2 linked regions of the Daphnia pulex genome follow. The protein of the gene in region 2 purifies or fractionates together with the protein of the main gene of each other region. This does not show direct contact. Links are inferred from orthologs where the notes say so. Each region holds a gene or a part of one and is shown on either strand. Other genes may lie near its edges. The genes, in order: target of rapamycin complex subunit lst8-like and regulatory-associated protein of mTOR-like.

Region 1 (15,274 bases), on a different chromosome or scaffold from region 2:
TTGTTATCAGTATCCTTTTGGTTGACTTTCAATAGAAACATTTGAATGTTTCTTCACTGTACAATTATCATCACAGAAATATTCACATTTCGTTTGCACACACCAAATATTACTCACATTTCCAACTTCTTGTAGCCATGTCTGATGGTGTTACTGGATTGCTGCACAGTCTTGACTCAACATCCCATATCAGTAGCAACACCGTCCTGTTCAAAAGAAAACACGTTTCAGTAAAAATGTACGATCGAAGGAATATGCAACACAAATCTTGAATTCAGTCACGCTCTCGGACATTTTTTCATGACCATTTCGAAAAATCCGTCACAATAAAGCAGAGGAATTAAGAAAACTCAACACTACAACATCGTTGAGAAAATCTCAGATATGATTCTAACTCGGCCTTTTAATTCATCACAATTTAAAAGTATTTTTATTCATGCCTTACATAATCATTTACTCACCCTTCATTCCTTCTGTGATGTGATGAATGCAATGGTGAAAAAACTGACGATATCCTTTATTACAAAAGAGAAATAATTAGCTCTCAATTACAAAGGCAATAAACGGACATGAATAATTTAAAAATATGAATCAGATAAGATCAAAGATTATGTCATCACAGCAGGGTGTCACAGCAAAAGTACCAAGACCAACAGATCTGAATATTCTCAAACTTTGCAGCAAGAATAAATAGATACCATCTTGGATCTCAGATACTATTGAGGGTCACACCAGGTCATTTTGCTTCATGGTTTTAATCACTTTCTCATGCCTAATATCAAACAAAATTAAAGACATAGAACTCACTCTTCAATGTCATGCCTTAACCAATATGGTATCCTGCATCTTGTCATCAACATTAGTTGCAAACAATTTGTACTAGAAGGATGGCGTTCATTTAAATTAGATCTGAAAATCAACAACTTGAATTAAGTACAATATTCTTTCAATACTATAAACCGAGAATACCTCACAATAAATTGTAGACAGCGGAAGAACGTTTCTCGTTGGAATCACTTTTCAAAATGGCTTATCAAGAAATTTTGAGACACTTCTTCAACTTCATACAGCAACGCCAGACTTTTCTTCTCGGTACTCGCAGCGCTCGCGGCATTCACAAGTCGGAGAGCAGCCATCTAATGGCAATTTTGAAATGCGAAGGCAGGAAGGCTGATAATTCGTTACGGAAAAATTTGTGTAGTCCCCAATTGCATTAATAGATATTCAGGAAATGACAACAATAATTAAGTTAAACACTTGACTTTTTACTTTTTAGAGCAAAATAAGCAGCAAATTCTATTCCGCCTCTTCACTTTTTGCTACTGTTGTTATCCATCTAGTGAGTAAACTAATAACTTCGATCATACTATTTTCGCCATTAAAAATTGTTCCTTGATGGCGTCTCGTCATTAGAAAAGAATAAAAATGGAAAATGTCTGAGCTTAATAACAAGAACTGCATTATCAAAAATTGTTTAAAGGATCCTGCAGAAAAAACAGCCCTTTTTCGTGTGCCAAAAAATTGTTTTTTGAGATGGAAAGAGTTGGTATCAAACGAAAAATTCTCTAGTAAATCTCGAATATGCAGTCGACACTTCGATGAATGTGATATTAAAAAGGGGATTTACCTTCTTGGAGACTTCTATCCTTTATCCGTTTGGAGATTAAATTCTGGGGCTGACCCAAAGCATTTCCTCGGTAATTATTCTATTTTTAACATGACTTAACGACAACTGAATTGCATTTTCGTTTGAAGACTTGCCGTCAATCAAGCCAACCAAAAAAAGGAAAGTTCTTACAGATGTTACGTGCGACTCTGGTTTGACGATTCCAGCAATCTCAAAAGGTATAAAATTTTAGGTGTGTTCAATCCTTTAAAACACTGAAGATTGATTGCACATCATAAACATAATCTTAGTGATAGGGTAATGTCTCAAAATCTGGACAGGCCTGAACGCTACAAATTTTGGACAACCGAAGAAATTTTGGTTTAAAAGTCCTATATGATGAGCAAATATCGCGAAAACTATGCCATTATGAAGAATTTTTGCCATTCTATCTGGGTTTGCAAAATATTTACTCTAAATGCCTGAAATCTCAGGAAATTATTAAAATAAAAGTTCTGAAAAGAACTTAGAAAATATGAAGTTTCTTGGCCTCATAAATCAAGCTGGAATAACATTTCTAGATGATATTTCTTGCTGTTTTAGGGCTCAAACGAAAGAATTTTGTTCATTCTTCACATTTCAGCACTTCAAACTGCGCCAAAACTGCAAATTCATGGAAGAAATCTAAGTAGAAGCTTGCTGGCGATAAATCCCATTACACAAAAGCTGGACAACCCCCCCTTTCTAAATCTGGACAACTGTAGAAGCCACAGGGTGTCGCTAGTTGAGGTGTACGCCACATTTCTGGCCAAGCGTTCTTTTTAATTTCAGCTTCTTGACATCTGAAAGCAATTATGTTTATCCTGATCTCATTCGTGTCTTATCTATACATTCAATAAAATAGACTATAATAAAAAAAATAATTGCTTTATTTTGCGATTGCATTTAAACAATTTCATAATTTAGCAAGCTTCCACGGTTGTGTGGTAAGGTGCTTTCTTTGGTAATACTTTGGATTTTGGGTGTCTCAAGGTTCAAATCCAAATCTCAACAAAAATTTTTTCATGAAAATAATTTGGAAATTGCCTAAGGGTGTCCAGAATTTATAACACGCTAGGGATAGCGTGGAAATATATTCTTTTTTAAGCTTAGATCATTAACCAAAATATATAGATATCTATTCTGCACTAAATTATCATTCGTAGCCGTATCGGTATAGCGTCCACCTGTTAATCGGCCTTTTCTCGTGGCACAGGTTCAAATCCTTTTTGCTCCAAGAATTTTCTTTTTATAAAGTATTTGGGCATTGCCTAGGGCTGTCCAGAATTTATAACACGTTAGAGATGGCTTGGTTATTTTTTCCTTTTTTTATCTTTGATCATTCTTCAAATTATTACAACATTTGTCATTCAATTAAAGAAGTCATGTAGCTAATATGGTAAAGTGCCGTCCTGCCGATAAATTGGTTTTATCATCAGTATGTATGTTCGAATCCAGATTCCGTTAAAACTCTTTTTCATGAAATAAATTTGGAAATCGCCCCAGGCTGTCCAGAATTTATAACACGCTAGAGATGGCTTAGAATTTTATTATTTTAAAAACTTCTACTAATTTAAAAATCAGATTAACATCAATTTCATTTTCCGATAACCTATATAGCTATGTCGGTAAAGTGCTTACTTCCTCATTGTGATTACGATTAAGGCCATGGTTCAAATCCCATTCCGAAAAATATTTTTCATGAAATATATTATGAAGCGGAGAACGCCCAGAATTCAAAATTACTTTCATGAAATTGATTTCTATTGAAGTAGGATTTGAACAACGGCGCCGATAATGACGACCGTTGGAAAATATGCACTCTACCAATAGAGCTATAGCGGCTGTTATTGAGAGAAAAAGATGTTAATATGGTTTGAAAAATTATGAAAGTTTTAAAAATAATAATTTTCTAAGCCATCTCTAGCGTGTTATAAATTCTGGACAGCCTGGGGCGATTTCCAAATTTATTTCATGAAAAAGAGTTTTGACGGAATCTGGATTCGAACCTAAATACTGATGATAAAATCAAGTTACTGGCAGGACAGCACTTAACCATTCTAGCTACATGACACGTTATAAAGAATGACAAATGTTGTAATAATTTGAAGAATGATCAAAGATAAAAAAGGAAAAAATTACCAAGCCATCTCTAGCGTGTTATAAATTCTGGACAGCCTAAGGCGATTTCCAAATGAATTTCATGAAAAAATGTTTTTGCTGAATCCTGGATCCGAACCTAGGAACTTTAGTTATCCATAACCTCTCAGGCAGGCCCTCAACCAGTTTAGCTACATGGGTAATCTCGGGGCAAAGCAAATATTGAAATAGTTTGAAGAATCATGAAAGTTCCCAAAATAATAAATTTCCATGCCATCTCTAGCGTGTTATAAATTCTGGACAGCCTGAGGCGATTTTCAAATGAATTTCATGAAAAAATATTTTTATTCAATTCTGGATTCGAACCTGGGAACTCTTGGTTGTCCTTAACTTTTCAGGAAAGCCTTTAACCACTTTAGCTATGTGAGTCGAAAATTTTTCATGGTAAGGGTAACTTTAAACCATAATGCTGACCAATATTTTCAGCATAGACTATGAAAATGGTCTTAGATCACTCTGAGAGAGGTATAAATTAAAACTGAATTGATGAAAACGTTATTATTATGGTGCCACTTTATGCGTTTATTTTATCACAATCACAGTCGAATCATTCAAAGAAGACCCGTTTTATTAAGTTGTGGTTTCTGCTCATAGATGGCGCTGGTGGTTGTCCAGAATTTTTACAAACTGTCCAAGATTTTTGGCGGTTGTCCAACTTTAGGAAGACGTTTGGCCTATCTCAAGCACGCAAATATGACATAGCCACAAAAGTGTCCAGAATTAGTGACACTACCCTAAATATTTAATTTTTTTAAATCTATTTCGCGTGAAATAATTTCATAACATGGTCTTGTACGGTATATCCAATTATCCAGAGCCATTAACTATGTTTACCGGTCTCTTATGGCGGAATATTCTCTCGGAGACGGATATATATATATTTATTATAACATATGCAAAAATATTATGCGATGTATATCTCCCGCTACTAGCGGCGATAGTCTCAACTTAATACAAAAAATGGCGAAAGCTAAGCCATCGTCACGAAATTGTATAGTTCCCAATTGCATTAATAGATATTCAGGAAACGCCGAGAATAGAGAGAATTATACTTTATTTGGAGTGCCAAGCAATAGTTTCAATGCATGGCAAGACCTAATGCCAAACGTAAAATTACATAAAACATCGAAGCTGTGCTATCGCCATTTTGACGATTCTGACATTGTCAAAGGGTACAATATTCTAGGTGTGTTTCATCCTTTCATCCGGTGGAGATTAAAAGAAGGCTCAAATCCCAAGTATTATATTGGTAATATTATAAAATAATTGGGTAATTTTCTGTACAGAAGTTGGCGTTGAACACTCGTGTATAGTATATTGTATTTGTTATTTAAGAAAAATGTAGTCTGCTAGTCTCGGGGCGTCTCACCTGTGTCTGTCGGTGTCGGGAGTCCCGAAGTTTATTAGTTACATTGCCGTTCAACAACCTACTAGTGAATTGTTTTAAATTGTGTAACATTGTTTTGTTAACATGGGGAAAAAAGAACACAAACGGTGTTTTATTAGTGGTTGCTACGGGAAAAGGGATAAAGAAAATGCTCATGTCGGAGTTTTTGGTGTGCCAAAAGCTTCATTAAAAATTTGGCAAGACATAATTCCAAGGGGAGGCTTAACCACTTCTTCGAAGATTTGTAGTCGGCATTTTGACGACGACGATATAGAAAAAGGAAGAACAATTCAGGACAAATTTTACCCTTATTCTAGATGGATGCTAAAGCCTGGTGCTCTCCCAAAACATTTTTTAGGTCTGTTTTTTTACAGCAATATAGAGAAGAGTTTAGATACAGTTTTACACATTTAGATATAGTTAAACGTTTTAGGTTTTACTTGTGATTTCAATTTTGATTGTATTTTATTTTTTTGTTTATCAGGACATTCATCAACAAGACCAACAGTGGCCAGCTCAACATCACAGAAATCAAAAACCACCCTAAAAAATTCCTGTAGTTCTAAAACTTTGCCAATAGCAAAAGGTAACTTTGCATTGCTATTTGTTATCTGATTCTTTTTCAATTATCAAATACATTTTTCATTTTTCATTATGTAACTTCTCACAGATCCACCTTTATTGTTACCTAAACCTAAAGATGGAAGTGGTTTACCTATTCAAACTAAGACTGTTCCGGAATCAAGCATCAATTTTTCAGGCCCAAGCCATACTATTCCTCTTCCAGTTGATGGGCCTATAACTCACTACATCGTCGTTCATGATAATATTGCTGTACCAAATAAACCCACACTAACAGTAGACGGTGGGCTAAATGTAAATGGTACTCTGAGCAATTTGGTCACACCTACGGTGCAAAATGATCGTATGGATGTTAGTTCTTCTGCGTCTTGCAGTTTTGACCACAGCTACGTACTGGTACCTCCACGAACACCAACTTCTCTAGAAGAGAGTGCTGCTGCGTCATCGACATTGCGCAATTTCGAATCAGCTACATCTCAGGAAGCACAAGAAAATGCTGGCCCAAATGAATCGGATCACAATTACGTTATTCGTTCTTCTTCGACCCCTACTGTGAATGAGGAGGAAAGTTTCCATTTGGGTATGGCGGGTTACCACAACTTCATTAATGGTGTCGTTACTCCTACAGCTGAATGGACTTGGTCCTTCAACGAACGAAACAACAATTTAGTTTGTTCTTGTCATATTTTTTCCCATGACGGTGTGATGACTATAAAATCTGTTAAAATTGTCACCATGACCAAAGTTGCGTTGTATCTGAATGGAAAACCCATCACGCCTCCAGATATGCAATTTGAGTTTCGAAGTAAAGCTGATTTAGCAAATATTCTTGAAGATTTCAATTACAGAAGAACATGTCAAGGAATTGTGGATGATTCGCTAGCAGATACCGAAGTGACGGGTAAATGTGCTGGTATCAAGGAAGGCAATTTGTGGCGCTCAAAAATGTGCATGGGAATTGCAAACCCTCCTGCTTCCGCTCTCTGTTCAAAATGCCGCGTTTTTAAAAATTATTTGAAGAGAAGTACAAATAATCAGAAGACCAAGAAATTGAAAAATTCGAAAGAAGATTATAAATCGAGGTTGCGTTCCACCAAGCAAAGGTTGACACGATCAAATTCTAAAATTGAGGTAAATTATTGTTGGATTTTTTCTCGGAATAATCCTTTAATAGTTCTTTCTGAATTTCAGGCTCTTTCAGGTACCATAGAAGGTTTGCGCAATGAAAGGAAGAAGCTTTACTGGAATAGCTTTGATGTGAAATTAAAGCTTTTAAAGCCCAAAGTAATGATTAATTGATATGTCAAATTTCTCTTTTCAGCTAATTTACAAGAATTACTCACTTTTAGGAACAGCTAGTTGTTAAAACAATGATGGCCAAAGCAACAGTGAATCCTGGAAGAAACGATCGATTCAGCGCAATGCGTTACGATCCCGAATTTCTCAAAGAATGTTTACGAATCAGAAACAAAAGTTCTTCGGCGTACAAGCATTTAAGATCCGAAGGCATTCTTCCCCTACCGAGTCAGAATACACTCTTAAGAATCATGAAAAAAACAGATCTCGGTGATTCTAATAAATCAACGCAACCGGATCCACAAAACGTCTCCGCCGAATCAAATTTCATGGAACAAACAAATGTGGAAAATGAATGTCCTGCCTTACCCCACTTCACTGAGTCCGTATCGCCTACACCTGAAATAATGTTGCTACATTCAGAAGAAATACCTGTGTCTGTACAAGAAGAAATGATTGTTGAAATCTTGTCGGTTCAATAAAATGTGATTTAAAACTTAAAAATTTCTCTTCTTTTTTTTTAATTTCATACCTTTCGTAATTTGGCAATGCGGCCTTGGGCTCGTAGTTTGAGTTTCTGATCGTCGTCTGCTAGTAGAGTGATTTCAGAAGAAAAACAATAAGGAAATTTATTTTGTTGGTTTGACTTAAACGTCAAACAATATAATAAAACCTTATGGGTAATAATAATGGAGATCAAGTTATATTAGCTACAGGAGGTTATGATCACTCAATTAAATTCTGGCAAGCCCACTCGGGAGTGTGTACCCGGACGGTAACACATCCCGAATCGCAAGTGAATGCTCTCGATATCACCCCCGACAGCCAGCTATTGGCAGCTGCAGGATACCAACATATTCGCATGTATGAAATCAACTCTTCTAACCCCAATCCCATAGTCAATTATGAAGGTATTTCACGAAATGTGACTGCTGTTGGATTTCACGAAGATGGACACTGGATGTACACTGGAGGAGAAGACTGTTCTGCAAGAGTTTGGGATCTTAGGTATCATGTTTCCTCGTATTATTGGAAAAAACATAGTTTGATTGAGTTCTCATTTGTGTCATTCTAGGACAAGAAATTTGCAATGTTCCAGAATATTTCAAGTCACTGCCCCTGTAAATTGTGTTTGTTTGCATCCTAATCAAGGTGAACTATTGGTAGGAGACCAAAGTGGTGTCATCCACATCTGGTGAGATTTTACGTACCTTTCTTATTCTGTTGGGAATGATTGTAACACATGGATTGCTTATATAGGGACCTGAGAACAGATCACAATGAACAACTGGTTAGTATTGATACCTCAAGTATTTCCATTTCCATAATAATATCAATCAAATACTTACAGATTCCAGAACAAGATGCCTCCATTCAAGACATTTCCATTGATTCTTCTGCAAACTTCATGGCAGCCATTAATAACAAGGTGCCCATTATTGATGTTTATTCTTAGTTTCCCAACCAAGTCTTGAGATGTTTTTTTTCCTTTTCTCTCTCTACACAAATAAAGGGAAACTGTTATGTTTGGAGCCTCATCCCTGGGACTAAACTGCCGGACGGCGAAGAAGGTTCGACACCAACACAGTTGCGACCGAAAAGCCGTTTGTTAGCTCACAAACGTTACGGTCTCAAATGCAAATTCAGCCCTGACGCAAAGTATACGTTCGCCTCGTTTTCTTTGAATTTCTTTTTCAATCTTACAATTGATCTCGCAGGTACTTGGCCACGACGTCAGCCGATCAAACGGCCAAGTTATGGAAGACTTCCGATTTTTCCCTTCATTCCACACTGCAAACTGAAAATCAGCGCTGGGTGTGGGACATTGCCTTCTCTGCCGATTCACAATACGCAATAACAGGTACTTGACTCTTCTATTCTTCATCCTGGTTTTGTCTGCCTGTCTTGATGAAACATTTCGTTTATCCAGCTTCGTCCGACAACACAGCAAGGCTGTGGAGTATAGAAACGAGCGAGATAGCTAAAGAATACATTGGTCATTCAAAAGCTCTTACCTCATTGGCATTTCAAGACGGGACACCGTAAATTGAACATTTTACCATAATTTTCCCTTTTTTTTGGTTTTTTTTTTTCTTCTATTTTTCTCAAATGTATAAAATGTTTTTCATTGGCTTTGATACACTTAGGAACGCCTGAATTTTTAATGGTACCGTCCCACCTCACTTGTAGAGGTTGATTCATTTGGTAGAGCGGGAATCAACTCACCTATCTTGTGTCGTATTGGCTTTGGCCCCCTCAATCTCAAGACAAACGTCAACGTCAAATTGGATTAACATTCAATCAGTCGGGCGTAATGGGTTTGGGATGGCGTGACGAATTTCAGCCGAATGGAAGCAACCAAGCGCCCTATCCTCCTCTATTCATGTCAAGTCATCCATTTCTACAGTCCAGCAGAAAGGAGAAGGGAATAGTCTCGCGTACAACGAACGTGGGGCTCATCTATCAGTATTAATCTCCTTAGTTGGACACTAGCCTCGATTCTTGATGAGATTACCGAATTCAGGGCACCGAGGATGGACTTGATCGCTCCCGTGCCGGCCATTGTTTTTTCCAAACATCTTTCTTCCGCTCCTTTTTTTATCAGTTGGTTTTCCATCACTTGAATGTCCCATCACTTAAACCACCAATGCGGTGGACCGGGTTGGTCGTCGCATTAATCTCATGTCGACCTCTGATGTTTGATTCCGTAAAAAGTGCCAAGACTCCACATGCGTGCTGGCATCTAGCGACCAATAATAGCAGCTAACAGATTTGATTTCAGGATCCTATCGATCGGCGGCCGGGTTGCTGGCTCTTCTCTTCCGAGGCGGTGGTTGGGGAGAGCACACACAGCTTCCTCAAAAGAAACAAGACGTTATTTACTTTTGTTGGCTACGCTTACGTGAGACCCAGTGGAGTTTTAACTGCTGATCCAGGCCGGCTGAGAAGTAGAACCGAGAAAGAAATCCTGAATTATTGTCCGTCATAACAGAGGGATTGCTTTAGTTGCAGTGTCGAGACCAACTGCTGATGACGATGCACGTCGCCGGATTGATCCTTGCACGGGGAGGCAGCAAAGGAATCCCGCTCAAGAACTTGGCCTTACTCAAAGGCACGCCGCTTCTTCTCTGGGCGCTCAGGACCATGTCACAATGCAAAGGTAAATTACTACTGTCGCTACTATGTAATTCGATTTTAGTTTGTATGGCCGCAACCCCACAATTTTCTCTTCCAATGTTGAGGGTAACATTCTCCTTCCCGGCCGACATACGTGCAAGAATGAGATAGGTGTTTCTTTCTCCTTCTCGCAGCGCTTCAATTGAATTTGGATTGGCATTTTTTCATTGGATATTTGAGTAGGAAGGTTTTTTCATCATGTGTGTGTGTGTGTACAAGGAAAGCGAGATAGACGTCTAGCTGTATGCTCATTTGTGCGTGTCTAAAAGGGATGCCGAATGCAGTCATTCAGAAGGAGACGATCCGAATTCTGCGCCAACTGAGGCTGTTGGTGGTAGTCAGACTGGAATATAGGAGCGTTTTTCGTCTTCGTCGTCGTGGGGGGGAGAGAAAAGGCAACGGAGCGTGCTTGGCTCCAATACTACGCCCTGCCGCTCCTGTATAATAATAATATAGCTCCTAACCTTTTCTTTTCTTCTTCCTTTTTACAATAAATATATATATATGATTGGATGGTGGTGGTAGTAGTAGTTTTGTGTGCGTTACCAGGAGGATTGGAACGCCAGCGCAATTTTTTTTTTCTCTCTTCTCACCCGGCGCATTGCACGCAGCGCCTTCAATATGTGTGTAGATCCCAAAAGAATTTAGAAACTTTTTCCTCGCTGGTCCCTTGTGAGTCGAGTGATGAACGCCCCCAAGTTGTGATGTAAGGCGCGTTGCCAATGGATCGATTCAACTTGCAGACTCGGAGATTTGAATGTTCTGCCCAGCAGGTTTGACTTCCATTTGGGTGTCGTCCGACCACCCAGACATTCTTCAATTGGCCCTTGAAAACGGAGCCCAGGTCCATCGCCGGTCAGCCGAGACGTCGTCAGATGGAGCCACTTCACTGGAGGCCATCAACGAGTTCTTGGCCAGTCATCCGGGTATGATATTTACTGTAATAATAACGATGGGTACATCAGTGGTCTCGTCCAACAAAAAAGGCGTGCACAGTGTAACGATCGTCGTCGTCGTCGTCGTTGTCGTTCATCATCAACCTCGCAACAATGATTTGCTGTGCCGCTGATGCTCTTCTTTTCTCTCTCTCCCCCGGCCTTTTTTTTTCGGTGCCCACATACACACAGAAGTCGACGTGGTGGCATTGATTCAGTGCACGTCGCCTTTCGTCCGCGTTGCGCATTTGAACGAAGCCATCGCTAAAATGACGGCCGGATGCTGTGACTCGGTCTTCTCCGTCACGCGCTCTCACTCGCTGCGCTGGATGCAACTTGCAGAACCAAAAATCGAAAGCAGCAGCAGCGGCAGCGGCAGCAGTGAGTCCTTCGGTTGATTTTCTTGACTTTTTCTTTCAACAGTTGTGCCCAATTGCTGCAGCAGTTTCCCCATGTCCTGAATTACTGATGCGCACGTTGCCGTTGCCGAGTCCATCCACAGCACACAGTCCAGTCCGGGTCCTTCCTGTTCCTAGACATGGGCATTCTACTGATGCTCTGTCTAACCTATTCCGGCCTAATACCTCCGCTGTAGCTGAATATCCTCCCTCAACATGTCTCTTTTATTTGTAGATCCTTTCATCTCCGGGTCCTTCTTCCTCTTTCGTCTCTATATAAATACGGCCAGCTCTTGATGCGCTCGACATCTTTCAGCCTCTCTTCTTCTTCTTCTTTTTTAAACTTTTCTCCCGTGTCTCCAACTTTCTCTTTCCACTTCTTTTGATGATGTGGTACTACTTTTCCTCTTCCTCCCGTTTTCTTTTTCTGCCTCCACTTTTTGGGATAAGGAGCGACGGTGGATGCGGCAGAGATCCGGGCGGTCAACTTTGATCCTCATTGTCGACCCAAGAGGCAGGACTGGAACGGCGACTTGGTGGAGAACGGCGCGTTTTACTTGAGCTCCGTTCAACTTTTGCGACAAGGACTCATTCAGGGTGGAAAGTAAGTGCCACCCGTTACTATCTTCTCCCCGGTTTCTTAATTTCTCCTCCTTTTCAAAATAAGTGAACCGATTGATTTTTGAGAAAGACACGATTACCTGCATAGAAAATTCCCATTTTTATTATTATTATTATTCATCTTTTTCTTATTGGAAATGCTCATTAGAAACTCTTGAATGATCATGTACACGTAATACGATGCAGTGGAATGGCCCTTAAAATTAGATAACACAGAGATCAAATATGTACAAATTTTTTTTAAAATATTTCATAGAAAACAAACCAACAAAACTTTGTTATTTTGTTCCTGTTGCAAGGATTTCCTTCGTAGAGATGAGCGCAGAGTGCAGCATTGATATCGACACCGGCTACGATCTGTGGCTGGCCGAGCAGCAGGCATCCTATTTCAACATTGAGCCCGGTGGTGGCGAGTACATTCAAACATTTTTTCCCGCCACTTTGTGATTTGTCATGCAATGAGATTTGATTTCCTGTAGACTGCATTTCATTTTTGGCAATAAAATGTTTCGCTTCCGCACTAGTATTCTCAAACGGTCGTCTCCAGATCCAGATCGTCGCTCTCCAAAGTGCTGGCCGATTGTCAAGAGACGGCCATTTTCTTATCGTAATGGTACAAGGACGGAACTTTGTTTATTCCATCCGATTTGGATCCGCCGCCGCCGACTATCTTGATGTTAGGACCGCCGACAACGACCGACCGATTGCTGCCGATGATCCCGTTGTCCGGTTGTTGGTAGACGTAGTCGTTGAGAGCCGCTACTGGCAGCGGCCGGAAAGATCCTCCGGCGGCACCTGGCGACGACTGCGACGGACTGGAAACGAGCCCAGCAGGATCGGTTGCGTTGTTCTGATCGTTATAACCGGGCTGTTTGAGCGGATGCTGACCGTTGCGACAGACCATGACGGACGAAACGACGACAAAGAGGGACAGCAACGTACTTCCGGCTGCAATCAAATACCAGTAGACTTTGGGGACGCTCCACGACGAGATTCGGGTGCCGGGTGGTTGATTGTTGTCGTTGTTGGATGTTGTCGGGGTCGAGTGCAAGCACTGCTGGTCTGATTCGTCGACCCCCGAAGGGCAATCGTAGACGCCGTCGCACCACAATTGAGAGTCAATGCAGGCCTTGAGTTCCGGGCACCAGGTGGAGCAAAAGAACCACGGATAGAGTTGCTGCGACGGAGGTGATGAAACGGAGCCGAGATGAGGTATCACCACTCCAGTCAGCATTGATTTGTTGTTGAAGGGGTTGAGGACGGATTGCGGTGTCAGTTCCAGCCATTTCATCGTGTACGAGCCACTTTGAATGGCGATGAATTCAATCACGACGCCTCCGCTCACGTCCTGCGACGATTGGTTGCGCCATTCGTCCTCATTCTCCAGGTCCAGGGACTTTACCGCGTCCTCGGCGTTGAACGTTGAACTGAAAATCTTGACTCCTCCTTCCGGGTTCAGAGACGGGCAAATGACGGCAAGCGGGCGACCGTCAGCCTGTCTGTCCGAATAAACGACAATTCGATTCTTGGTGGGGCAATCGATAGCAGCGCCGGATTCTTCTTCTCCATTCGATTGATTATTCATGAGGAATCCGTTGGCGGATAGGAAAAAGAAACGGTCGGCTCGGCTCGGCAAAAGGAACCAACTCTGTCGATTGCAGACGGAATTTTGTCGGCCCAGCGTCAGGCCCCGCAGCCCGTCCAGTTTGATGATTCCTCCTGGGCCCTGCAACGGCTTCAATTCTGATTGGCTGGCGCATTTCATACCGCTACTCGTTCCTGGACTTCCCCCGAGGAATTCGTAAGAGATTTCGAAAAAAAAATCGTGATAGTCGTCGGCGTGAGTCATTCCCGTCACTTGGAAGACGACTTCGACAGCGCTGCCCGTCGAGACGTAACGGAACGGCAGCTGGAGGCCGGCAGTGTCGCAGAGACAGTCCCTCTGGAGAAGGACGTTGTGTCCGGCAGTCTGCCCTGCCCATGGCCGTTCCCTCAACTGGAGGAAAGCCGTTGAGGTGGTAGTGGTCGATCCATTGCCGCCAGCCGCTGCCGGCGAGTAATCCGACCGTAAAATGTGACAGCGGCGCTGGTGGGTCAGCGGATCCAGGCGACTGTGGCACTGACTACCAGGTCGTCCCCCGAGGCGAAGGCGGGTCACTTCGACGGCCACTCGCATCGTCTCCTCTCCCTGGAACCGATAGACGCACCTAATTTTTCATAGGGAAAAAATAAAACAACAAAAGTTGGAATGAGAAAATGTCCATTTGGGTAATGAATTTCATGCTCTCCGCCGAGGCATACGTGTAAGTCGTCCGAAATGAATCGGGACAGTGTTATGCGCAGCGATTTATATTGTCTTTAACAGTAGCAGCTAAATCTCTCTATGGCGTCCGTCACCGCTTAATAGAGTGTTACACAATGGTAACCATGGGGGCGCGCGGCCTGCCTTTACATAAATCATTCAAGCAAGTTGTTGCCGCTGAAAACACAGAAGAATGGGAGGGAAAAAAACCGTGTCCAACATAAAAATGTATTCATCTCTGTCTCGCTGTATAAGATATTGTCCTCTTCTTCTTTTCATCCCCAATTCTCTTTTCAATATGAAAACGAAAAACAATTTCCCATTTCTTGGGTTATTGTATTCGCTGACTGTCAGCAGAAAGAATAAGCAAATAGAAATCGCGAGAGGACCATCTCTTTTTTCGTTGAACGATCGATGAATTCAACAAAAAACAAGTTACCCGCCAGTCTCCATTCGGTGTCACCAGGGAGAATTCAAAAGTTAAACCTCTTTTTTTTTACTGTATTGAATATACACACAAAGAAACTGGCCGACATTCATGACGAGTTGCGAAAATGGCAAAAATAGCAAAAGTCTAAATACACATCGCAAGTTGATTCCATCGCAGCGGCTGACGAGTCCCTGTGGATTGCACATGGCTCCACCCACTCATTTTGGTCGGACGAAACCAAGCGGGAAAACCAACGTCTGTTAACAGTCTGCTGGAAACACAACTTCTGGCTGTATTGTGCACCTATTTCCCCCCGGCAACCCGACGATGTAATCGATTCG
Region 2 (15,839 bases):
GTTTTATTTCATGCATGTTTAATTCGATGTATTTATTATTATTTTGTATCAGATGATTTATCCATCGCACATTGATCCCATCAAACTCATAAACTTTTTAGAAAGTATAGATGGTGACTTTACTCGGAGCATAACAAAACAGTAAGAATTAAAACCTCCAAGTACATAGAGTCTAATAGTTTAATACCACATACAAACGCTTAATTAGATTGCTCGGAAAATCCAACCCAAACACATACACATTTTCTAAATCCTTGGCCGAACAAATTCTAGAAAGAGAAAAGCACAACGTTCCATTAGCAATCGTCCGTCCTTCCATCGTTACAGGTGAATTAATTTATTCATATTTTGTTGTTATGAATATTGAGAAATATTTGTGTCGTCCTATATAGCTGCCGCCAAAGAACCTACACCTGGATGGATCGATTCCCTCTACGGACCGACTGGTGAGAAAAATGACAGAAACTATTGAACTGCTCCATTTTTTTTTTACTGCCGACGTGCTTTGATATATTAAAGATTGCCAAACGCGTTTCTTTTTATTGCTTTGACAGGCCTAATTGCAGGTGGAGCAAAGGGTTTCCTCAGGCTTTTCAAGTGTGAAGCCAGTTGTGTCATCGATCTAATTCCTGTTGACTATGCTGTCAACCTTATAATAGCCGTCGCCTGGCATCAAGCTACGACAAAGTAACGACAATTTTTTTTATTTATTTTATAACTGTTGCACTACTCCGTGACTCTGTCATAAACACGGAATGAGTATTACCTATCTGTTATTTACTTCTCCAAATGTCATCGACCCTTGAATACGTCTCCTGTTACAGACCTTCACAACTCACTGTTTATACGTCTTCTACGAGCTATCACAATCCGATCACCATCCATCAAATGAGGTCGTTTTCAGAAGAAGCTGTCACTAAATATCCGCCGAAGGAGATTATGTGGTGCCCAAGCGGCGAATGCACCAACCGTGATTGGTATTTCAGAATCAATGTCTTTCTCACCCATTATCTACCAGCATATCTTCTGGACTTCACCAGCCAACTTTTTGGCAAACGAGCTAAAATGGTACCCAGAATATTAAAAATGCAATAAATATTTGTTTTCATAACAAAGATTAATTGAATATGAAACAGGTGAAATTGTATGAACGAGTTTTTAGGGCAATTTCAAACTTAGGCTTTTTTAATAGCCACCAATGGCAGTTTGTTAGTGAAAATTCGCTGACGATCCAGTCCAAAATGTCGACAGCCGATCGAAAAATCTTTGATTTTGATGTCCGTCAACTCAATTGGCGTAGCTATTTTGAAACTTACGTCCAAGGGATCCGGCTGTTTATTCTCAAAGACGACCCTAGCACTCTTCCGCAAGCAAGAAAAACCCTCGTCAGGTAATATTTTACATTTGATTCCAAACTTTAAAAAACATTAGAGTTAATTTTTGCTTCAAACATATGCGCAGAATGTACGTCCTGAAAGTCTTTCTTCGCTCATTGATGTCGCTCTGTTTTGTTCTTTCCGTGGTCAACCGATTCAAAACCAGAAGTCTTTTCCAAAGCCCCTTTCCATCTTTATTGTAAAATTGGCAGCTGCAGTGATAAAGGTGCACGAATCTTCTCGTTCCCTCCGATAGAAGTAATATATAGCACCAAGACTTTATATTATATTGAGATAAAAGATACAAAAATATTGCGGTGAAATCATGTAAAATATAATCAATACACAGTTTGGGATTTTTTTTAAAATGTGAATTCTATAATGTTTCCAGGTTCATTAAAAGGTATTGTAAATTTCATAAACTCTTTCCGTTTGGAGTTGTTAGTAGATGGTCACGGAACGTGAGTTTTATAATGTTTGATAAGGTCTCAGCAGAGAATCTTCTTGGGCTCTCTCCGCGTCTCCGTAATCGGTCCCTATAATTGGGATCCCACGAAGTTCTTCGCAGTAGTTATAGACAACCAACCAAAAGTATAGGCCAAAACCTAGTGGTTACATTTAAAAAATAATGCGTAAGTGCTTATCTATTATCATCCGCTTGAAGAAAAAAGTTATGACAAAACGGCTATCACCTATCCGTATTGGTGTAGTGATGGCAACAGCTAAGTCTCCGTTCGTAACAGACGAAATAAAAACAACGACATCAATTGTTAGAGAAACCATAAAAACTACGAGCCACGGCCTTGCCAGATTTGGGCGTTGCGTATAGGCCGCCATGACCAAAAGAAACGAAACCATCAAATCACACATAGAGGCGATAAGGAATACTATCAGTACCGCTAAAGTTGCACTGTATTTTCCTGCAGAATTCAATATTGAACATTAGTTTACGTCTTTTCAAGTTCTTCAAGACAATCTACCGTCATGGGGACCGTTGTATAGGGCATCGAAGGAGGCACATGCGATACTCAGTAAAATCACTAAAAGAAGCTTTACTACCTAAGGATAATATGTACATAATCATAAGCATCAAAAGAGTTTTACATGTAACAAGGTGTACCAAACGTACCACAGAAAAGATGCTGATAATTTTAGTCCCCGTTTGAAGAGAACAGCCACACCAGCTCTCAGTAAACCTGGGAATCCTCATGGTGAGTTTGACAACTTAATCCCGTTTTCAATACGAGGTTAACAAAGGCTAATGCGACGTTGGTTTTCACTGCGTTCAAACACATAAACGATTGATCTGGCCACCAGCTGATCAGTACAACGGAAAAGCTCCGTTCCGATAACCTTATCGCAACAACTGATAAACGGGTAGAAAGATCAAAGCCGAAGCATCACATTTTCTTTTTTACTTAAGTCGAACAATGTCGTCTAAACATTCTGACGACGGAAATTCATCGACAAAGTTTTTGGTATTCAATTACTTTGTATTACCCAATACTCACATGGATTGAGAACGTCGACCCAAACAGCATGGGCATGTAAACTTATCTTGTGTAACGTGAGCATAGCTCGATATAATAACATGAAAATCATACCCAATGAATAAACTGATAAGAAGTCAGCAGGAAGCTTCACACACAAAAAAAAATACATTTAAGATACACAATTAATTTAATTCGGTGCATGAATTAATATAGAGGATGCTTCATTTTGAATCTTTCGCTCACAATAGTGATTGTTTGTAACTGGGTATTTAACATATGCGAGGTCTCGCGGCTCGAATTGAAAAATCTCCAACAGAAAAAAAGAAAACGACGAATCTTGACGGTGAGTCAACAAAAGCAAACCATTCTACTTCTTTGACTTATCTGAAGAAAAAACAGAAATCATCGAGTCCATGCCTCCAGCAGCGAGGCACACCCGATGTGGATGAAAGGTTAAACAGGAGACAGCTGCAATTTTGGAGCCCAAAAGACCACCGCCGTCGTGATACGCGATAGTAGAACGCACTTCTCCTTCTTGGTCGTGTACGGTAATGTACTGCCCGACAATTCCACTAATAATGAAAACGATGCATGTTAGTGAAAATAAGCATTTTTCCACACAAAAGCTGTTTTACCAAGCAAATAAGTTAGCCTTGGGATGGACTGCCATGGCAGTCATTCCTTGCGAATTAGGCGCTGTGGCTACGGTGAGAACCGAGTTGGGATTTCTAGGATCCATGAACTTGATGTCACCCGCCAGACTTGAGAAAAAAAAACAACTATTAGTTATCAAACGTAATTTCATACAATGTAACGATTAATACGATGAGATGATTGTTACCTGCCACTCACTAAGTTGGCACCTCCTTCAACCGAAATCCATTCGCAATCTATGACCCAAGCAGCATGCTCCCTCCAAGTCATAACTCTAGATTTTGCAGCGCTGCATCGCTGATCAAAAAGGCGGACTGATCCGTCTCCACATGACGCTACAAAGAGCGATCGATCTGAAGACAAAATTATCAATTTAATTTGCGCAAACGATTATATAAATTTCTTAAACTTGGTCAAAACCTCGCGGGTTATGATGAACGGAGGTCACACAATTTTCTGAACCAGTAGGAAAGTCGCTGACTTTCAATTCACGCTCTACGTCCCAAATGCGGATCAAGCGAACATCGCCTGTTGCTAGCAATTGTAAAGAATCCTGATTCCAATCCAAAACCAGACCGGAACATCGAGTCGATGGTGCCATTTCAGCTATACAGTTCCATGCTGAAACAAGAGAAACTCCAGTGTGATCTTCGACAACAGCATTTGCTGATCGAGATCCTGTTCGAATAAAATCCCGCCAGATTCTGCACGACCCATCATCTGCACCAATAAGAAGTAACGCATCATCATGTCCGTTCACAAAATCCATTGATGTAATTCGAGCAGCCCTGGGTTGTTGTTGATTGTTAAAATGGACAAGACGGACGCTTCTTTCCCAGTCCCATACTCTGCATTATAGAACAATTTTCGTCGAGCACAGAAAAACTTTTATCACCATAAAAGAATTGTTTCTTACGTGCATCCTTCTTTATCTGCTACAGCAAGCCAAGGATCGTAGGGATGAAAGCGGATAACTGAAGGTACCAGTGGATTCCGATTGCAGAAAACCTCTTTCATTTTTGCTTTATTTGGTCTAAATAAATAAACATAGAATTTTAAATTAAAAAACCAGGTAAAAACCCTGAAATTGAGTTCACCTTTGACATTCTTCTTTAGCTTCATGGCGAACGGAAGCATTTCTTGTATATCGCCATTCGCGCGTGTAGTACATTTCAGTGTCTCGTTCACGTGTTCTCCCGCATATCTAGTTGAGAACAAAAAAATATATCAATAATAATTCTAAAAAATCATAGAATCCATGTTGAGGTTGTACTTCGAATTCAATAGTTAATTCTTTTTCGTGATTGGGTTTCATATTGATTTGAAAATCTTCATTAGACGCAGCTGGTTCAGCAAAATGACGAGCGCACCATTCGACAAATCCGGTTACTACTAAAGGATCCTTCAACTCTTTGGAACTTTCACCTTCTTCCACAATCTAGCAACGAATAAATAATAATTGAGTAGTAGTAAGAAACATTCGGTTGAGGAAGCCAGTTCAAAATGTTATTACTGTAGATGGTATGCTTCGTTTCCTGATTCTGTTGAATGAGGGAGTAGTGCGTTGGACAAGGGCCCGTGGAGGAGAGTCCCCACTGAAACAAGTCTCAAATATATTCGTTATTTGTACGAGGTATTGTAATAGTATACAGCATTACATGTAGAGGGATTTATCCATAGAATCGTTACTCGAATTGGAATACGTATATTGACGACTAACGTCTGATTCCCGTGAAGCTATCACTTCTTTAGCCTGAAATATGCATGTTATGTTTAAGTGGCTGACCAACTGCGTAATTTTTAAAAAGGAAATACCTTATTCCGCACATAATCCGTTAATTTCTTTGCCATCGTAGAGACTTCCAGGTAAGGATCTTTTTCCATGCTTGAAAGTCCGTGCCAAAGTTTGACGTAAATAGTGTTAAAAGCAAGACTAGGCAAAGTGGAACTCGCTGCAAAAATAAAATTTAGAAATATTTTATTTTAATCAATTTTTGGCTTACTATTAAAATCTTACTAAGGCTACTGAGAGAGGAAATAGAAACCGCTCGTCTAATATGATCTGGATGCCCGGAGTTTGTGGAATGGGTGAAACCACTATCTGATAGTTCCGGACTTGTGCCTAGGTTCATCGCATTGGATGTGGAGGCCCGCGAACGACGCGTGGGCCTCTGTAGACTACCAGAAGAAGTTAACGTTACTTCCACGTTTGGAGAGAGACTGTTCGAGTCTTTATTCTTTTCCTCTTCTATCTGTTGAACAGCCATTTGAATGAACGTGGACTCGAATATCAAAACAATCCACTGGAGAGCGCCAACGATCTTTAGAAAGAAAATTAAATTTAACGAATATTCAATTCCCAAAGCGAAAAGAAGCTACTATACCTCTTTGCGAACCAAAGGACTAGCTTCCGAGTTCACAACATTCACCAGTTGTAAGGCCACTGCGTGATCAATTTTGTTGGCAAGTTCATTTCGTTCCGTCTTTCCTCCACTATGGATAAACGTTCCTAGGGCATAAGCAGTGGCCGCTCGAACCTTAACATACATAAACAAATAAGACTGAAATTCGACAGATTTAATGTCATATAATCAACAATGTTGTAAATACCTCAGGAACAGAATCTCGCAACAACGGAAATAGTTTCTCATGAGCGGAGTCTCGAATTGCCGACCAACGAGCAGCTATAGCATTGTGCCAAGCTAAGCCAATTCCAATGACGATCCATTGTCTAAGTAATTTATCCTTTTCATAGACCATTTCCAGGGCATTCGAGATAAAAGCTACTTGAGAAACAGCATCCTGCCCGATAGGATGATTCCAGACCACTCTAGAAATCACAAAGGCGGCCAGCGTGCGCTGATCATCCGGCACGGAATTATCTTGAAGAACAGAGAGGAAATATTTGTGTCCTCCATCACGGACTAAATCCGCTTGACAGGTAACATCAACAGCAAGAATTTTCGTCCAGATAAATAGAAGTAATGGGCGCAGTTCCCGCGCAGAACTTTGAAGTAACTAAAACGAAGATTTCAGTTATCGAGTAGAACATATTAAAATAGAAAAGCAAACCTTTAAAACATATGGAAAAATGCCGACCGACAGCGCCAAATTGACAGCCCAAGGGCCTAAATCTAAAAATCGCCCCAAGAGTTCAAGTGCTCTTAAACGATGAACTTGACTTAAAAGAACTTGCAGAACAATAGGTAGTTGTTCTGGAGGAGATCTCTTTTGTGACCCATGCGAAAGCCAAACTTGGAAAGCCGTCAACTGTTCCTCAAAAAAAGGGGAATTCTGGAAGGTTTCCTTGCCTTCTAAAATGCCTGGTAGCTGTGAGAGGCAAATGTCAAGAGCTAAATCCCAAGCAGACCACATTGGGTGCTAAAATCAAAGAATGCCGAAATTATAAGACATTTAAATAATGTGAAAAGGTAACTTTAAATCCTAATAACCTGAGACGTAGGAGGCAACTTTGGCCAAGAGACTGGCGTGCAGTCATACGACTTAAGTATCCTTTCTGCTAAAAGGAAATTCCGGAAAAGACTAGCCACAAGAAGATCTTGTCTGAAAAGGCGCTGGAACACGTCCCGTGGAAGTGAATTCCAAGCAATCGTATCAGTTATAGCGGTAAAAATCCAATTTAATTCACCCAGCATAGTTCTGCGATCGTTAAGCTGCCCGGGGATTTTGTCGACTGATTCAAGTGTCATTCGGGGCACCAAACGGGAAGTATTTTGTAAAACAAACCATCGAAGTGCAATCTTTTGATATAGGGGAAAAAATGGAATAGTACATTAAATTTCCAATTTATCTTAAAACATATTCTAGTTACCTTAATAGGAGTTGTGAGACATGCAGTAAATATATCAGCTGGCAGTTCGGAATTCATAGGAAGAATCTGATTAGTTGCGCATGCAGCCAACTGAATGCACTGTTTGAAATTCGGAGGTGGTGTCATCTGAGAAGGCAATGTGTTTCTTGATTGAGCCATCAGTTGTTCGTACTCCCTCTGATGCTGATCCGCGAACTGTTGAAACGCGTCCACAATCATGCCAGCGTTTGAACAGTCAAATACGTAAATTGACGGAGACCACATCCAAGTTTGTAGGTCGTAAATCGAGAGCGGTATATATTGCGTATAACTGCGATTGAAGACCCAAATCTCTCCATTGGCAGTTGGTTTCGGAACGCCATGCCCATTGTAGTGAAACAGCACTCTTTCGTCTTTAGCATTTCTTCGGAGAGTAGATGTTACTTTTTTAATCTGACATTTATGAATTACAACATTAATCACAATTATTCTTTTCTAAACAAACAAGAATTTTTCGGTTGTACCTCATCAGCGGTAGGATCTAGAGTTTGCTTGTAGCGAGCACGGGGCTGCCACCTCTCATATTGCTTCTGAAGGTTGATGCCAATTGCTTCTAATGCTTTTTGTGGACTCATAGACAAAGGATCTACACATTGAGGAAAATTGCATTAAAAAAGCAACAACACTACACACACAACCCTTTACAAATCACATACCTATCCAGCATTCTAGCCTTGCACAGGGCTGAGTTTTAACTACATCTGGAGGATCTACTCCAACATTAAGGCATAATATCAATGCCACACTTACTGTTTTCATCTTGAATTTAAAAAAAATAAAAGAAATCCTATTTTATTAAGCCGTACATGCACAATTGTGTGGAGAAAAAATTACAAAATGCTATTTAAATTTTGATTTTGGACGGGAAAGGTAACTTAATAAATGCATGGGTTACCCGATCCTTTAATCTCCAGTTTTGAGCACAATCCTCTAATCCTTCAATTTTATCTGTGTGCCTTTCTGAAGAAAATGCTAATCCAATCGCCCAATCTTCATCTTCTTCATCTTGGCCCTGTTCATCGGGAGAAGGTGAACGTGATGGAGCACGCTGGAAAACCGAGAGCTCCCCCGACATGGTCATCTATTCAACGATTTATCAGATTTCTTATCCAAAAATTTAGATAAATCTGAAAAACCACAAAACAAAACGAACTCTTGATGAGCTACACATTCACCCGACTGGAAGTGACAATATATTCATATTATTACGACACGAATTCAAATTGTTTCTCTTGTTGTGTGAGTGCAGACGGATTTTGGTTTATTTTTTACGACGAAAAAATGAATCCAACACAACTACACAAGGTTGCCATTTTCTATTCGACATAAAATGGAAGCTATCTCATCATTCTCATGCCACAGGCACGCCACAGGCCCACAGAATTCGTAATCGTATACACCCCAATTTTTTTCCTTATTATAAACTTATATATAATTCATGTGTCTGTTTTTTTTAGTATGTTTACTCTCTGGCCCACCATTCCCCTTAAATGTCACCAAAAACAAAATTTACGGAAAAAGTCTGTCTGGTACTCTGGTTACTAAGGAGGTTACGCCTCTCTTAACAGATGTCTCTTCAATAGCGCCGGCTGCGGCGCCAAAACAGACCGAATTTCCATGAAAATTCTTGGTCATGAAGGACGCTTTTGAAAGCCAAAAGCCATTGAAAATTACATGAATAATTGTGTATTCGCTTTCTAATTGTCACATTGAAGTAAAAAGAAATGAACTGGAGTGGTGGATCCAAACACCGTTTCCGGCTAAATACTGAGATTCGTAAAACTGCCTTTCAACAACAGAGTCGCATAATTCTCGTTGACCTCGTGAAGCATGACGATCTTGAACAAACCGGTCAGATTTCCCCAATCAATGGACAGAAGTTTACAATGATTCCTCCTAAAGTAACAGCCAATTTAATGACACTAAAGATGGGAGTATTTATTAAATATGTATTTTGCAGGTAGAGGCAGTTTCAAATGATGATATCTCAATACGTCATTTTGGGATTGGAACTCCATTTCACAACATTCCTTGTGGATCTTCATCAGGTCTACATCAATACATTACTCGATTAAAAAATTTCAAATAATTGTGTTACTCTATATAGATACTGAAGGATCTGGCAATGATGACATATCAATAAGTACAAAATATAGTCCTGTTTCATTAGACCAGGAAAGTACAGCTGAGCATCACATAACAAGCACATCTGAAGAGGAACAAACAAAAGTTCCATTAAGTCACAAGGTTAATGAACTTTATGAGGATTCAAACCCTGGTGAGGTTCTTTTACTACAAGAAAGTTCACCGTCAGGATGTAGTTCATTTCTCAGCAACTCAAATGTTGAATGTCCTTCTCCACCTTATCTCAACCCAAATCCTTACTCTTCAACACCAAATTTGAGTTTTCTAACTCCCGTCATACATCGCGAGAACACTGTAAGACATTCAAGCAAAGATCGACGTTTTTGTCAACAAAATTGGGATAATTCCAACCTTCACAATTTACCGTACTTGACACCCCTTACCGACGAACCAGTCATAATACAAGAAAACTCAATTTTTAAGAATCGAACTCAAACAGATAATCGAGAAGCTCCTTCAACAAAAAATCGCTCAATGTTTGTTCCAGTAGACGTCACTCCTGCTCAACGAAAACAAGTTCATTTCTATACTTCTGACCAAGAAAGTAGTACAGCTGAGCATAGAGTAAAGAACTTTTCTGAAGAGAATCAAGCTAATGTCTCGACTCCAGCCAGAGAGCAGTATGACGATTCTAGCGTGTATGCACCACGCAATAAAGATACCCTTGTCACCTCCATTGCCGGTTGTTCAACTCCCAGACCTTATTATGTAAACCAACATTTTCACTACCCAACACCAACTTTGGGCTCTACTACTACAGCAACACACCAGGAGAACCTCGTCGGATTTTCAACAAAAGATCAACGCATCCCTGGAATGAAAGATTCTCCCCTTCAGTATTTGCCGTGCTCCACATCGATTAACGACACAAAAACGACAATACCTTCTCAAACAACTCCCATTGGATCGAACGTTGATAATCATAATAATTCTGCTCAAGTAAACTGGTCGATGTTTCCGCCGTTAGTCGTCACTCCTGCTCAACAACGGCGCGTGCAATTTGCGTCATCCTCATCCGTTCCCCTTCAGAAAATGAAAGTTATTGTAAATAACACAGTTGTTCCTATGAAAGAGACTTCTAACTTGAATACTTCTATTCCTGGCACATCATTTCCAAATGGGTCGTCAATGGACTTCTCAAAATACGTGTCGCCCCCTAAGCAAGAACACGCTGTTGTGATCACAGAGGGAATTGTATCAGAGCAACACGAATATTGCAAAGAAGAAGCTATTAGTCTAGTCCAATCATCTAGCAAAATGGTCACAACCTATCCTGTTCATTCCCTCATTCATCCCCAGGACGGAACTACAAACGCCAATGAAAATAGTAATAACCAAGCTAATCCAAAGTTTACTACTCGAAAAAGAAAACAAAGCGTTGCTTCTTGGAAAACTTCAGTTCGCAAGAAATTTAACGGTAGATGCACTCATCATTGTCGTTGTCGTACCGTTATTCGAAAAGTCAAAATCCGTGACGCTGAAACTCAAACTTCTTAATTACTTCACTTGAAAGGCAGCGCTGTTTGTGTTTGTTTTAACATAAGTTACTTCCCCACGGTTTCTTCATTATTTTAGTTACGGTTTACTTCTTGATGTTTCAGTATTGTCCATGGTTAAAACTCGAGGAGAGTGAGAAACAAAATGTTTTTCTTACAATACAAGCAAATAATCAAAACACATATGGCTACGTAATACGTAATTCAATGTTATACATGACGGTATCAGCGTTTTTTCGTCTTACTTTTCTTCATCAACGAATTTGCAGTTTTAAATTCAACACCTAAAATAAAGATGTTTAATTTTCGGTTAACATAATTTTTGAAATGTGTGCTTACCAATCGAATTACAAATCCCTCTGGTTTGTTGATCCGTGTCTTCAGCCGTGTTGCCGGACAAAAACAGTACAATGGGCGAATTCTGGCTAGTTTTATAAACGTTTCTCTGGTTTGTATCCAGGTAACAGCAGCATTCCAGTATTTGGAACAATGTCCTTAAAGAAAACCAGAAGGTTAATCATTATCAATAGCACTTAGGAGTTAAGAAAGATGGCTCGTGTGCTCACCAGTTGGCTTTATCTTTTCGTTTCGGATAAGTCAATAATGGGATGACTTGGTGTTCGTTTTGACGCTGTGCTCTAATAAAGCGATTGCCGGTACGAAAGCAGGTTTCTAGCCACCGAATGCATTCCCGAACAGAAGAGCTTTCCCTCTGTATAACAAGAGAAAAAAAAATCATTAAATGCTGTAAGATCAACAATCAAGTAAATGAAAATACTTTGAGTTGATCAATTTCCGAGATGACAATATCAGGTACTACTACAATCAGCTTTTGGCTTTTGATCACTTGTTTTATGAGGTGAGTAAAATCTGAAAGAGCAGAGACGTCCGGTACCAAATAGACATAAGATAAAGTGGAAAGATCGAAGTTTGTCTTTTTTTTTCTTTTGAATTGAGGTGAGAGTCTCCGTTCAAGCTCTTGTACTTCTGACTTCAACCACAAGTGTGCCATGTTTCTCATCATGAGATCTGCTTTCATTCCCAGTTCCTGGGATTCATCTTTAGTTGCTTCGGATGGACACATGTAAATTCCGTTTTCCAGTCGGAAACTTTTTTCGTTGCCTTGACTTGCCAACCAATTGCCAAATTGGAGAATTCTTTCGATCCGAATAGAATTTAAAATTGAAATGTTGGATGGTGCAGGAACAGACTCAAAATCGATTTGAGCATGGAATAAGCTCATAGAATCCAGTCCATACAGCTTCCAATCTTCTTCTAAAGGAACTTTTTGGTACTGATCAACATCTTCTTTCTGACAGCGTTTAAACACGTTGAGGATGGTAGCTAGTGTTGCCCACATTTTTCGAATGGATTGATTTGATACTTGAACAACCTGAACATTGGCTTGTAACCAATCAGTCAAGAGTTTAAAAATCGGCAAAAGAGATACAGCTTCTGACGGGATTTCAATGAGCGGTTCAAGTTTAGCTTCAGCTGAATGAAAACCAGAATCGGATAAAACTTCTTCTTCTTCTTCAGAATCCTGCTCAGAGTTACTTTCTAAAAATATCTCTTCCTCTGAAAATTCTTGATCAGACGATCCAGATCCAATTTTTCTTCTTCTCAGTTTAGCGCGCTTAGTTTCTTCTTCCTCCTCGTCACTCAGTTCATCTTCATCAGCTTCTTCTTTACTCCCAGAGACGGGCTCTTTCTCTTTATCTGCATTATTTCCATTACGTTGGTCAGCATTCCCAGAGCTTAGATGGAAAATGTCTTGAAACTTGCTCAGAACGTGAGCGAAAAGTGAACAACAGAAGGCGATTGCAGCTGTTGGATTATGGTTTGATGAAGCGGGAGTTACAGTACACATCACCACGCAGGCAGCCAAATCCAAGAGTTGGTTACAACTCTCATTTTCGCTGCTACAGAGTCGTTTTTGAATTTCGCTTAAGGCCGCCTGACACAGCTTTTAAAAACCAATTAATTAATGCACAAACATTGAAACCAGAATTTTTGTTCAACTTACTTGGCTTACTTCAAAAGTATTTTCTTCTTTGCCTACAAAGACTAACTTTGGAAGTAATTGTGAAAAAGCGGAAATCAGTTTGTCTTCGTTCATGGCAAGACGTACTAATAAAGCCTTAAGATTAGGTTCAGCCCCAGGGAATATTTTTAAGGCTTTCATGCTTTAAAGAAAAACAAGTATTAACATTATACATACAGAAGCAACATAATAGTGTGCTATTGTACCTTCTTATATAGTAAAATATAGATTCACATCCTCTGGAAGGATCATGACTAGTCAAAGTCCCAAGTTGATTGTAAGGGAGACCAATACTAGGATTGACAAGAACTGCCTAAATAAATAAAAAGTTGACAGACATGAAAAACACATGTGATAATTAGTTTGTCTACCTGATGATAAAAGCGCTCTGCTGTAATTACACTGTTAGAAATTTCCAAATCATTTCTATAGCGGGACAAATCTCCTAACCTTTGAACAAAATTTTGATTAGCTTCTACAATCAAAGTATACGACAAAATTTTTTAACATACCAAACCAAAATCTTTTGGACTGATTCCATTAACTCTTCTTTGGACTCTTTATGTGTTTCACAATCAAGGATTTTAACTTCCAAGAGTGGTAAAACATGAAGTGTAAGTTTTGTGGCTGGGTCCACATTTTTTAGCTTTTGGCAAACATCTTGCATAAGCTCAGTAAACTTTACAATCCCCGATTCAATGTGATATCCAATAAAAAGTTTTTCCATTGAAGTAAGGGGTGACTTCTAGAATTTTTTTTTTTTTTTTAAATCTGTAATTGGCATTAAAAATATTTTGCATAGTTATTACCTTTCCATTAATTTTGGTAGAAGTTATCACATCGTAATAGCACTTCTTCCAGAGAAGTTCTTCAGCTCTACGTCGGCATTGGATTGGATCAGCTCCCATTGATTTCACACAGAGATAAGAAAGTTGGCTTCGAAGCTCAATGATATCTGGAGTAAATAGATCTCTGCATGCTCTAGCTTTGGCAACAGCTGAATCTAACTGTTTCACCAATATTGAAGCTGAGCTGTAAAACCAAAATGATGTAAATTTTGGTTTGGGATTCAAGTATTAAAATAAAATTGATAAGAGGTTTACTAGATGAGTTTTTTAATAGTGTCATTATTGGTAGACGAAGCCATTCTCGCCTTTGAATTGAGGTTCTTGTCTGCCATGGTTTGGTCAGGTTTTGTTCTTGGTAGCGCCAGCCCTAGCTCGGAAAATGTTACAACCAAATAAGAAATAATGACTAAATATGCTATGAAACTCGATGATTTCCATGACGTCCTGGACTGGTCCTGGACCGCCTTTGAACAACAACTTCAATCAATTACAACTATTATGCCTAATTTAAATGAACAAATTTTCCTAAAAGTCCTCCATTAAAAGAAAAGAAATTCACTCTCTCCGTCTCTCGTCTGGTTCTGCTGCTGCTTAACCTGACATCTGGTGAGCATAAAAAACGCAGATAGAGATAGAAATTTTAGAAAATCACAAACAAGAGAAAGTTCCACTTATCACGGTACTTATGTAGAACCAGTTTTACCATGATCTAAATTCAAAAATTGCTAAATCTGATCTAATCCCACCCTTGACTCATTTTTAAAATAAAGTCCGGCCCCGCCGTAGAAAACGATTTAATGATTTTAGAGCAAAAAATTTAATTGGGATAATGCCATAATGGTAGGGTTTTATTGAATGGCAGAACATTGCATTTCTAAAAGCTGCAACATGGTCACACACTTTATAAATAAAAAAAAGCTCAAAAGTCGCCGTTGACAGTATCAAAATTTGTTTAAAATCAGAAATATTCATTAGTTCGTTTCAATTGAACAATGGGATTATAAAGGAACTACTCCGAGACCTACGCCTCCCTCGTGAGCGCACATTGAAGAACCGAAACTCCATTTGTCAATCTTCGGATCATAGACCTCTACCGTATTTAAGTTTCTGAAATGAAATAGAAAAAAAAATTACATTTATTTCATCAGCGGAACATAAGTAAAGAATATTTACGCAGTGCCATCGTATCCTCCAACCGCCCAAAGACGACCGGCATTAGCTGCCAACGCCACTCGGCTACGAGTAACACTCATGGGGGCAACATGGTTCCACTTCTCAGTTTTTGGATCAAAAACCTCAACTGATCGCAAAAATGTTGAACCATCATACCCGCCGCAAGCATAGAGCTTACCCTCCAATACAGCAACTCCTAGTCTGTGTTTCAAATTGACAAAAAAATATTGAAACGATAAAGGATTTAACATGAAAACCACATCGTGAAAACCTGCAACGTTTTGAAAGCATTGAGACTCCGGGAGTCCAACGACCAGTTTGGGGATTATACTTCTCGACTGAATCAAATATGCTTAATCCGTCATGTCCACCCAAAACATATATGTGATTGTCAAACGCCACTACTCCGGCCGCACTTCTATGTTTGTTCATGGCAGAAACACATTTCCAACAATCAGTTGAGGGGTCATAGGACTCGACTGTGTTGAGCGAAGTAACACCGTCGTATCCGCCACAAACCTGCGGACAAATTTGACAAGCGATTGGCAAATTGTTGTTGTACATTGATTTTTGAGGTTCATTATACATACGTAAAGGTAGTCATGGAGGGAAGCTGCTCCAGCAGCGCTTCGTTTGCAGTTCATGGAACCTATCCCACGCCAAATTCGCTTGGGTCCGTCTAAAACTTCGACTGTTTGAAGCCTGTCAACACCGTTGTAGCCACCAATAGCTAACAATC

The links.
Region 1: the proteins of regulatory-associated protein of mTOR-like (region 2) and target of rapamycin complex subunit lst8-like purify together in Homo sapiens (affinity purification with western blotting; 15 studies listed by BioGRID and IntAct, with this or other methods). This does not show direct contact. The link is inferred for Daphnia pulex from reciprocal best matches to the Homo sapiens genes RPTOR and MLST8.

Annotation. Positions count from the first base shown.
Region 1 is NC_060019.1:9,050,454-9,065,727, reverse strand, and holds target of rapamycin complex subunit lst8-like, read left to right. Parts: upstream 1-7,634; 5' UTR 7,635-7,746; coding exon 7,747-8,078; intron 8,079-8,145; coding exon 8,146-8,265; intron 8,266-8,330; coding exon 8,331-8,361; intron 8,362-8,421; coding exon 8,422-8,499; intron 8,500-8,583; coding exon 8,584-8,729; intron 8,730-8,788; coding exon 8,789-8,931; intron 8,932-9,000; coding exon 9,001-9,116; 3' UTR 9,117-9,240; downstream 9,241-15,274. Other genes in the region: uncharacterized protein LOC124191397, read left to right, coding at 4,649-5,054, 5,677-5,778, 5,863-6,905, 6,966-7,058, 7,124-7,552; N-acylneuraminate cytidylyltransferase A-like, read left to right, coding at 10,101-10,230, 11,021-11,173, 11,375-11,563, 12,031-12,184, 12,501-12,648; uncharacterized protein LOC124191396, read right to left, coding at 12,785-14,408.
Region 2 is NC_060017.1:2,259,898-2,275,736, reverse strand, and holds regulatory-associated protein of mTOR-like, read right to left. Parts: upstream 8,715-15,839; 5' UTR 8,476-8,714; coding exon 8,290-8,475; intron 8,154-8,289; coding exon 8,051-8,153; intron 7,981-8,050; coding exon 7,859-7,980; intron 7,788-7,858; coding exon 7,356-7,787; intron 7,285-7,355; coding exon 6,976-7,284; intron 6,905-6,975; coding exon 6,596-6,904; intron 6,542-6,595; coding exon 6,134-6,541; intron 6,061-6,133; coding exon 5,908-6,060; intron 5,845-5,907; coding exon 5,541-5,844; intron 5,476-5,540; coding exon 5,339-5,475; intron 5,277-5,338; coding exon 5,182-5,276; intron 5,119-5,181; coding exon 5,037-5,118; intron 4,962-5,036; coding exon 4,797-4,961; intron 4,728-4,796; coding exon 4,621-4,727; intron 4,557-4,620; coding exon 4,440-4,556; intron 4,372-4,439; coding exon 3,944-4,371; intron 3,877-3,943; coding exon 3,711-3,876; intron 3,631-3,710; coding exon 3,505-3,630; intron 3,442-3,504; coding exon 3,237-3,441; 3' UTR 2,506-3,236; and 3 more. Other genes in the region: putative fatty acyl-CoA reductase CG5065, read left to right, coding at 53-141, 209-327, 393-446, 555-687, 825-1,068, 1,137-1,390, 1,462-1,579; uncharacterized protein PB18E9.04c-like, read left to right, coding at 9,119-9,295, 9,355-9,442, 9,502-11,036; protein SMG5-like, read right to left, coding at 11,261-11,319, 11,375-11,529, 11,602-11,747, 11,814-13,001, 13,062-13,221, 13,286-13,392, 13,451-13,529, 13,592-13,824 and 2 more; kelch-like protein 18, read right to left, coding at 14,926-15,034, 15,101-15,301, 15,372-15,619, 15,691-15,830. UniProt on the Homo sapiens protein: Component of the mechanistic target of rapamycin complex 1 (mTORC1), an evolutionarily conserved central nutrient sensor that stimulates anabolic reactions and macromolecule biosynthesis to promote cellular biomass generation and growth.